Neurospora crassa OR74A: one gene and its partner. The protein of the gene in region 2 purifies or fractionates together with the protein of the main gene of each other region. This does not show direct contact. Links are inferred from orthologs where the notes say so. Each region holds a gene or a part of one and is shown on either strand. Other genes may lie near its edges. The genes, in order: rdi-1 and rho-1.

What was found.
Region 1: the proteins of rho-1 (region 2) and rdi-1 purify together in Saccharomyces cerevisiae (affinity purification with western blotting; 3 studies listed by BioGRID, with this or other methods). This does not show direct contact. The link is inferred for Neurospora crassa OR74A from reciprocal best matches to the Saccharomyces cerevisiae genes RHO1 and RDI1.

Annotation. Positions count from the first base shown.
Region 1 is NC_026504.1:1,633,420-1,637,692, reverse strand, and holds rdi-1 (rho-gdp dissociation inhibitor), read right to left. Parts: upstream 2,864-4,273; 5' UTR 2,501-2,863; coding exon 2,404-2,500; intron 1,830-2,403; coding exon 1,452-1,829; intron 1,330-1,451; coding exon 1,199-1,329; 3' UTR 534-1,198; downstream 1-533. Other genes in the region: serine/threonine-protein phosphatase PP2A catalytic subunit, read left to right, coding at 1-334. UniProt on the Saccharomyces cerevisiae protein: Regulates the GDP/GTP exchange reaction of the Rho proteins by inhibiting the dissociation of GDP from them, and the subsequent binding of GTP to them.
Region 2 is NC_026502.1:3,340,789-3,345,263, reverse strand, and holds rho-1 (rho-type GTPase), read right to left. Parts: upstream 3,065-4,475; 5' UTR 2,603-3,064; coding exon 2,532-2,602; intron 2,396-2,531; coding exon 2,368-2,395; intron 2,104-2,367; coding exon 1,906-2,103; intron 1,835-1,905; coding exon 1,700-1,834; intron 1,599-1,699; coding exon 1,443-1,598; 3' UTR 564-1,442; downstream 1-563. UniProt on the Saccharomyces cerevisiae protein: Acts as a central regulator in the cell wall integrity signaling pathway, which is regulated by the cell cycle and in response to various types of cell wall stress.

The DNA of each region.
Region 1 (4,273 bases), on a different chromosome or scaffold from region 2:
CAGTTTATCACCCCGCGGCGCTGGCTACACTTTCGGAGCGCAGGTGGTTAAGAAGTTCCTGGCGGTGAACAACATGAACCACATTCTGCGCGCGCACCAGCTCTGTCAGGAAGGGTATCAGGTGCTATACGACGACCGGCTGAGCACGGTATGGAGCGCGCCCAACTACTGCTACCGGTGCGGAAACATGGCAAGTGTCTTGGAGGTCAGCGATACTGGAGAGCGCTTCTTCAATGTGTTTGCGGCCGCTCCTGAGAACGACGCCGTTAAGGATCAGCAGATGAATCAGGACAAGTCGGCGGAGGGGGGCGCATTGCCGGATTACTTTTTGTAATAGTCGGCGAGAGACGGGAAACCCCCCTACATGGTGCGCACTCGGGGCGAATGGGGATAGAGGACGGGAACAGAGAGCATGAGCGTTGCGGATGGTCTTGGCTTGAACTTGTTCGCACCAAAGAGTGTGAATACACTGCATATACCCACGCTAGCGACCGCAATGTCATAGATTAGAAGCAGGCATGAATGATAGAGGTACTCGGGACAGTTTTTTTTTTTTCTTCTCCTCTACTAACAAGTAAGCCCTCCCGATCTTCTTCATAGCAGATAAGAGAAACCGCAAGACCTGAATTGCGTATGTGAGAGTTATGTGTGTTTATACTACTAAGATAAGATGATGTGTATGTATGTAGATAAATGTAAGGAAGTTTTCTCCTCTTCCCCTTCCCTCCTGCCCGGAAAGGGGGGCGTATACCCTAAACGACCAAACCATCCTGTGGCCCAGATTCCGTTCCGTTCCGTTCGCTTGCCTTTCCAGTCCCATACCTAGATAAGGTGAAACAGACGTCGGTGTGTTTCTACCTTCCTTTCCCTTGTCGAGTTCCGGTAGTGTAGTGTATCTTTCTCCCTGTTTCGTGATCTTCGAAACAGGGAGGAAGCGCGTGTTTAGTCTTCTTTCCCCACTCAGCATGATTAATTCCATCTTCATCCTCTATCGAGTTCGCTCCTCGTTCGCGAATGGCGCATCCCTCTTTGCCCACGAAATCAACCGAGGGCACAGCAGTTCGTCACAGTATGCCAACAGCGAAGTGTATGTGTGTGTGTATCCGATGCGGCTGACTAGCTGGACTGAGTGACCGGCTAGCTTATAGGGCGAGAAACTAGACGACGACGATGACGGCGATCTAAACCCGAAAGTAGTTTACCAGTCCTTGGCAATATCGAAGCTCCACTCGAACTCGAGATGGGTCTTGCCATCGTCGTCGACGAAGCGAGAGACGGCGTTGTAGTTGCCACGGGCGAGCATGCCAGTGGGGGCCTCCTCCTCGGCGACTAAATCGTTTCGTAAACTCGGTCAGCAAATTTCCGCCCCCTATTCCCATTCACAAGGACAAACAAACGGACAGCAGGATTTCTGTCACAAAGAAGGAGAGGAAGAAGAAAAAAGAACTCACAAGTCTTGGTGTACATGGGATTCTTATCCGTGTTGGGCGCATAACTGCCAATCATCTCGCTCGTCTTGCCACCGGGGATCCTGATCTTGCCGCGCTTGACCGTCTGGACGTAGTGCAAGCCGCTCAAAATTTCGTGCTGCACCTTGAACTGGGCCTTCATGGTGAACTTGGCACCCTCCTTGATGGTGAAGGGCTTCTTCTTGAGGTCCTCCAGCGACCCGGGCGTAGACAGGTCGATCACGACGGGCTCCCGGCCGGGAGACTCCATGGAGAGCGAGTGGATGATGCACACGCGCGGGTCGTTGGGGTCGGACAGGTCGTTGCCGCCGCCGAGGCCGAGGGACTCCTTGTAGCGCTTGAGGGACTCGTCGTTCTCGTCTAGGGGGAAGGGTTAGTCATGGTGGCTCTTCTTTTCATGAATGGTACCTCTTTTCTTTGGCATCATGATATATATATATGTGTGTGTGTGTGTGGTTGAATGCGGTTGAGTGTTGTGTGAATGACGGTGCTGTGGTCTTCGGGTCTGCTAAGATGGGCTATGTCGCGATAGCTCTCGCGCCCCTCATCTTCAAACCAGGGGCATGCCCTGTTGAAAGTTGTGAACGTCTGCGACGACCTTTGGCTTAACTTGACCGCCAAGTCAACAATTGCAGAGGTAGGTTTCTGCCACGGGAAACCCACGCAAGCTTTACTTTGCGCTTAGAGTGGTCGTGATCTTGCCAAAGTTTTGGCATGGAAAGTTGCGATGTTGTGAGGCGTTGCCATAGTCCTTTGCGCCGTGAAGCATGGGCGGTGAAAGGGGTCACCATCATGTCGTCACCGCACCCGCAGTTCCCCCTTTTTCCAAAAAAGTCCCACGATCCGCACGATGCCGCAGAGAAAATACGGGTGAAATAAGACGCATGCGATGCTGAAAAGAAAACAAACAGTAAAGACAAAGGTTGGAACATACCCATCTTGTGGTACTCAGCCAAGGACTGCTTGGGCTGAGAGAGCTTGTAGCCCGAGTTGTCCTCGGGCATCAGATCTTCGTCGTGTCCGCCGGCCATTGTGAATTATTGGGGTAGTGGTTGTTGATTAAAATAGATGATGAAAATCCGTCGGGATATGGAGGATACAAAGTTGCAATGAAGAGTCAAGAAAGACAGGACGGGAGAAGAGAAGAAGTCGACGACGACGGAAGCTATGATGGTATTTACGGCGCCGATCTGATGGAAGGTTTTGGAGGGGTGACGGGACAAAGCGAGGCCGGAGCTTATTTATTTGGGCGACGGGAGCACTGTGCACTCCCAACCGACACCCACACAGTTCCAGATTGTCCACCCACGTTCACTGCGAGTCGCCAGGAACCACTCACAATGGAGAGCGGCTGAGCCCAGAGTCAACTGAAGAGAGACGGCGATGGAACTGACTGGCAGCAATTCTGGATGGAGGGGCTCGGCACTCTTTCAGGATGTCTTCTCTTTGGCCACAGCTCTTACAGCTGGTGGGGCCAAGGGGGAGCTGCATCTGGCGGTTGGGGGTCTCGACGCGAGAGCAACACCAAGACGGGCCCATCATTGGATAAACATGGGCCATCTGGAACGCCGTCGACCTCGAACCTGTCCTCCCTGGTTCCCGCGTGCAGAACATATCAAGTCTGGAATCCCCCTCATCCATTGGGCTGCTGGCTGTTGATGTTTCCTTCCATCTTCTGTGCCTCTTGACTGCGTGCCTTGCCCGTTGATGCTGTGAATTATACGGGCCTTGTAGTAGGTAGCTCACCTACTTCTCTCCTCGAGCCTCGAGACTCTGGTAGAGGTACCTACCTACCTACGTACAGTACATGGCAATAGGGAGCTGCCTAGTGGATTACCTCTAGTGTTCAAGCTACGGCGGTGATCTGATGGACTTGGACAAGTCGAGTGGTTGCACGAAACTGGCGATGTGAACAACAAGTGTCTCTGTTGTCACCGCCCCTGGAGAGGAAAGGAAAAAAGGGGTTCAGAGCTTGGAGAGAGTGTAGCGATGGTGGTGAGCGATGGTGCCAAGACCTGAGAGGGCCGATTCCGATCATTGGGGGCCTTTTTTTGGGTCGTTCACCGCTCCTTCTTTCCCCGCCAGGGACCCGTCCGCTCGAGATACTGGGGGGGCTCTCTTCACCGTTGAGTCCCGGCATGTCAGATCACGGAACGGCCAGCCTTCCGGTTATTTTGATTTATAGGTACCTTCGGCTAGCTGGGAAGAGCGCGATATCACCGCCCTTCAGCCTTTTCGTCGTTCGTTTACTTCTCCTCAGCGGCTGAGACCCGTTCTCTGCCGGTTGTCTTACAACTGTTAGCACGGAATGGAGCTTGATCCAACATGAGACAAGCCGTTGAAGCATCCCGGTGTGAAACGCTTGAGGACGCCTCTGCTCTGCTTGGTGATCGCTGGTGAGCATGATGGTTCTGGTGGTGTAGAGGTCTTGGCTACCCCAGATTGACGGGTTGACGGGTTCCTGGGACGGGATGACGGGTTGACAGACAGTTCTGTGTGCGTACCTACCTATGCATCACCAAATGTGGCCAGTCTTTGACTTCAGTTGTTGGTGTGCCATTCCCCTCCCCACTCGCTCACGTCGGTCAAGGCCAGCGTCAGTCCAGCAGACCCGTATGGTATCTTATCAGGAGGCCTTGTGTCAACTTCGTTGACATCCATTCGCCGCCGGATGTTGATTGTGTCCCTTGGGTGCTCCAAACACCACAAGACATCATCTGCAGCAGAGACGTGAAGAGAGTCTCACTGCGTGTGGAACATTGCTCACATTGCATCCGTGGAGGACCCTGTCTCTCCGCTTTCTG
Region 2 (4,475 bases):
GAGAAGGAGAAGGAGAAGGAGAAAGCGAGCGACGGACTTTTGTCTACGTCGTTCGGTTGGTTGGTTGGTTGGTTGGTTGACTTGACTAGAGGTACCAAACCTTACCTTGCCTCCTACCCAGAGCTAGAGCTAGATACCTGAATGAATATTTACCTCCTGCGTCGAGTAGGTTATCAAGGAACTGAAGAACTGAAAGGAATTGACAGCGGGGAGCGTATATATATTTATATATATTCTTTTGAAAGTGTTATGTTTACCGCTTCTTTCCCCCCTCTGTTGGCTATGATGAAGAAGTCCCAGAGAGTGTTCGAGATGCAAAGTGTATAATGTATGGCACATCATAGCTTACTTGCAAGTGTTAGCTTCGTTGGCTGTCAAGACCAATCATGCCTTTCTGGCATACCTCACGCGCTGAGTGTGATGACTCGGGAACATTAACTAGGTTTACCCTTGATAGACATGACGTCCTTCATTCAATCAACTGTTTCACGTTTGGGTCTGGAGCTGGCGGCGGCCTCTCCCGTCGGATTGCATAGTCGGCAAAGCGTGATGATTACTGAACTTCGGATTCAAAGACTAAGTAGACAAACGGGCTGACTGACGTAGAAGAAGTCTGTGCTCGTGTCAGTGGTTGACATGAGTATTGCAAGAGGGGACGGGCAATGAATGGTCTGAGGATGTACAGTAGGTAACAGCAATTGTCGTCAACGGTCTATGGAAGTAGCAGGGACATTCGGCGGCCTCGCCATGCCGATCGCCCAAACTATACGGAACATTCAATCTCAAAATCCCAATTTGAACCATGCAGCGGCAGCAGCAGACGGAGACAGATAAACAAGAACGCGATAAAACTAGAGATTAATAACAGACAGGTAGACACAGAGAGAGAGATAAGAGACAGACGCACACGGGCAGTGACAGAGAAAGAGAAATAAAGGAGACAGGTAAGGGGGGCCAGAGACGCGGCATGTGATTCCAGAAGAAACAAGAAATATTGAACCGCAAAACTCCTTTCTCCAGTCTTTCTCTTTCCCTTTACCGCCCTCAGGTGTCCTCCGTTTGTGTATACATGAACACAAGCCACGCACCCGTCCACGCCGACCACACACACACACAGAAATAGTGGAAAGGAGTCCAGACCCAGTTATCCTCCCTAAATATCGAGTAGTAAGGCCCATAAGTATCCCCGAAATCCCAAGCCCCTCCCCATTTGCGCTCTCCACACCCCTTTCTTCTTCTCTCTGTGAAATATTATCCGCTCGGTAGCAGCATTGACGGCGTCATGGGCAGAGAATTATCAACTAAGGTGATGATCATCTTTCGCTTTGAAAACCGTTGCTTGATTACATGTTGCGAGGCTATCCGGGGAGGGCTTGGTGCAGATGATGTTGTTCGTCGTGCGGTAGAAATAAAAGCATCTCTCTAAAGAGCTGTGGGTTTGTTTAGACCGAGCTCTTGCAGAGGCCCCTCTTCGTCTTTGTCTTCTTGAGAAGGGCGGCTCTTGTCGCGTTCTCGAACACCTCACGGACACCCTCGTTGGTCTTGGCCGAGCACTCGAGGTACTTGTGGGCGTTGATCCTCTTCCTCAGAGCCTCACCCTGTTGATGAGCGCGTTAGCATACATTCCCGAGCAAGCGGAGGGAAAGCACTTGGAAACAAAAGGGGCATCATCAGCCGCCAATGTCTCAGCCTCACGTACCTCTTCGGGGGAAACGGGCTTCTGGCTGGTCTTGCGGAGCTCCTCAATGGTCTTGGGGTCGTGGCGCAAATCCTTCTTGCAGCCAACGAGGATGATTGGAACGTCACGGCAGAAGTGAAGAACCTCAGAGTGCCACTGTTTTTGATTGTTAGCGAATTGTAGCCTCAAAGACAAGGGCGCGCCAAGTAAGCAGGCGGGATACTGACCTTCTCGGAAACGTTGTCGAGCGAATCGGGAGAGTCGATGGCGAAGCAGATCAAGACGACGTGAGAGTCGGGGTAGGACAGGGGACGGAGACGGTCATAATCCTCCTGACCAGCCGTATCCCATAGCGCGAGCTCGACGTGTCTGCCATCAACCTCGACATCGGCGACGTAGTTCTCGAAAACGGTAGGGACGTAGACCTGGGCGCAGAGAGTTAGCTGGCTGAGCAGCGCTTATTCGGATGCGGATATGATGGCGACAGGGCGGGTGTTTCGAATTTGATGGCTTGATGGTTCATCGGGCTGAGGAGATGGATGTAGCCTGTTCGGGGGGGGAGGCGAGACGCGGGAATTGGCAGGAAGATGCGTGTTTCGTCAGGCGGTTGGGGCGGTGTAGCGAACAGACGGTCGAGGGCAGGTGTGTAGATGGACGTCTCAGTCCCGACAGACAAGTGCCTGACTTACCTCGGGGAAGGTTCCCTTGGAGAAGACGCTGGAAATTCGGTTAGCAAAAAGGTTGTGATGGGGGGAGAGCGGCGGTGACGACGACGACGACGACAACGACGACGACGCGCGCCTTATAAGAGCAGCATCAATCTCTTGGATGTGGATAGGGGAAATGGACATACATCAACAAACAGGTCTTGCCGCAGGCACCATCGCCAACGATGACGAGCTTTCGGCGGAGTTCAGCAGACATGGCGTCGGTTTGGTGGTTGTGTGAATAGGGGAGGAGAGATTAAGTTGTTTAGTTGAGTTGAGTGATGTCGACGGACGGTGCTTTGTTCGTTGTCGACGGGTTGTATGCAAAGGACGGGAGAGGGTATCACGCGGCCTGGATTTGGTCGATAAAAGATGCAAAATGGAAAAGGGAAGGAAAATGGAGATGGGGGTGTTGGGTGGTTGTTGAAGGATGGACGGTGGTGGTGGTAGGTAGGTAGGTAGTGGCCGCTGGTGGTGTGCTAACCTGTTCAAGTTGTGAGTTGTGTTGTGACGGAGACGGAGACGGGGAACGGGGACGGGGGGACCACCAGATAGCCAGGTGCAGGACTCCCACGGGCAAGGTTGGAAGAGGGTGGAAACCTTAGCCAGCGAACCAGGGCCGGGCAGTCAGACTGGGCTGGGAGGGCAGTGGGTGCTGCCGTGTGTGGTGAGGTGAGCGAGGCAGTGGGTAGCCCCAGAGAAGCCCCAGGGAACGGGCGGGCTGTCCAGGCACAGGCAGTCACTCAGTCGGGTTCACACAGTCCCATCTGGCAGCAGTCGCAGCCTGGAGGCTACAGGTACTGTGTGGTAAGAGGAAGGCAGACGACACCTACCGACCTAATTTTTCATCCAACACACTAGGTCCCTACCTAGATACTGCATTTTGTGTCGGAATACCCCATCACTTGTACAGGAGCCGGTAGGGGTGCGAGACGAGCCAAGAGCAAAGGGCCAGACAAGGGAGGTGCTGGCTTGATGTGACTTGTGAGTGGCCCGAATCCTCAGCAAGCGGTACGTACCGGTCCTCTTCTACAATTAACACCGTCACCTCCATTACCGTAATTCAGCTATTTGCACGCGAAAAGAGAGCTGATTTTGGTGATATTAATAGTGGACCGACCTTGAAATCGTCGTCGTCATGTTCCTTCCTGTTCCCCTTTTTCGCTACCCCGGACTTGCTGCATAAGGCTAATAAGGCCATCTCCCGAACATGACTCTCGACCTTTTTTTTTTTTTTTGTTTCTTCAACTTTGATGACAAGCGCAAAAGTGCACGGTGGGGACGGGCCAAATTACCACTCGAACCACTTTTAGACATCCATACCGCAGTAATCCGACACCCGACACGCTGCGCTGGCTCGGCTGGCTGTCGATCAAAGGGGGAAAGCACGCGCTGCTGCCGTGGCCCCCCAGGATTTTAGTAGTGTACTCAGAGGAAGTGGAAGCTTTGCGAGCGAGCGAAGGCAGGCGAGGCGAGTCTCCAGCAGCAAAGATGGTCCAGTGGGCGGCGGCGATAACTGCTAATCTCCAGACTGCCTGCCCAGAACCCCTGAACCAACGCCAAAAGGTACAGGAACAGGCACAGTGCGCCATGGGCCTCTTCCTTCCGGTCGCCTATTTTGGGTGTCCCTAGTGTACACTACATAGGTAGTAATTTGCTGATAGCTCTGGGCTTTGTTCTCAGCCATCCATTATCAGGGTCCAGGACTCTCTTGACAGTCTAGTAGTGAACATGGAGGAAGGGGATGGGGTGGGAGGAAGGACGGGACATGATATTAAAAACATGGAAGCTCCTGTCTTGTTGGCATACGCAGTATGTACACCACACTATACCCCATTTCCTCTCGGCTGTCGATACACTACACAGTATATACCAAGAGACGGAGCGGTCAGCAAAGTGTCGGTGCCCAGCCGCATCTAGATAGCAGACCAGTCTCTTGAATTGCGAACATCTCGGTTGCCATGGCATTGACGTGAGCTTGTTGACTTGGTGGATGACGAAACGGGATAGGAGAGAGGGAGGCTGGAGAAGGAAGCGTCAGCTGCCACCCGTCATCCGTCAGCCGTCAACAGTCAGTCAGTCAGTCAGCC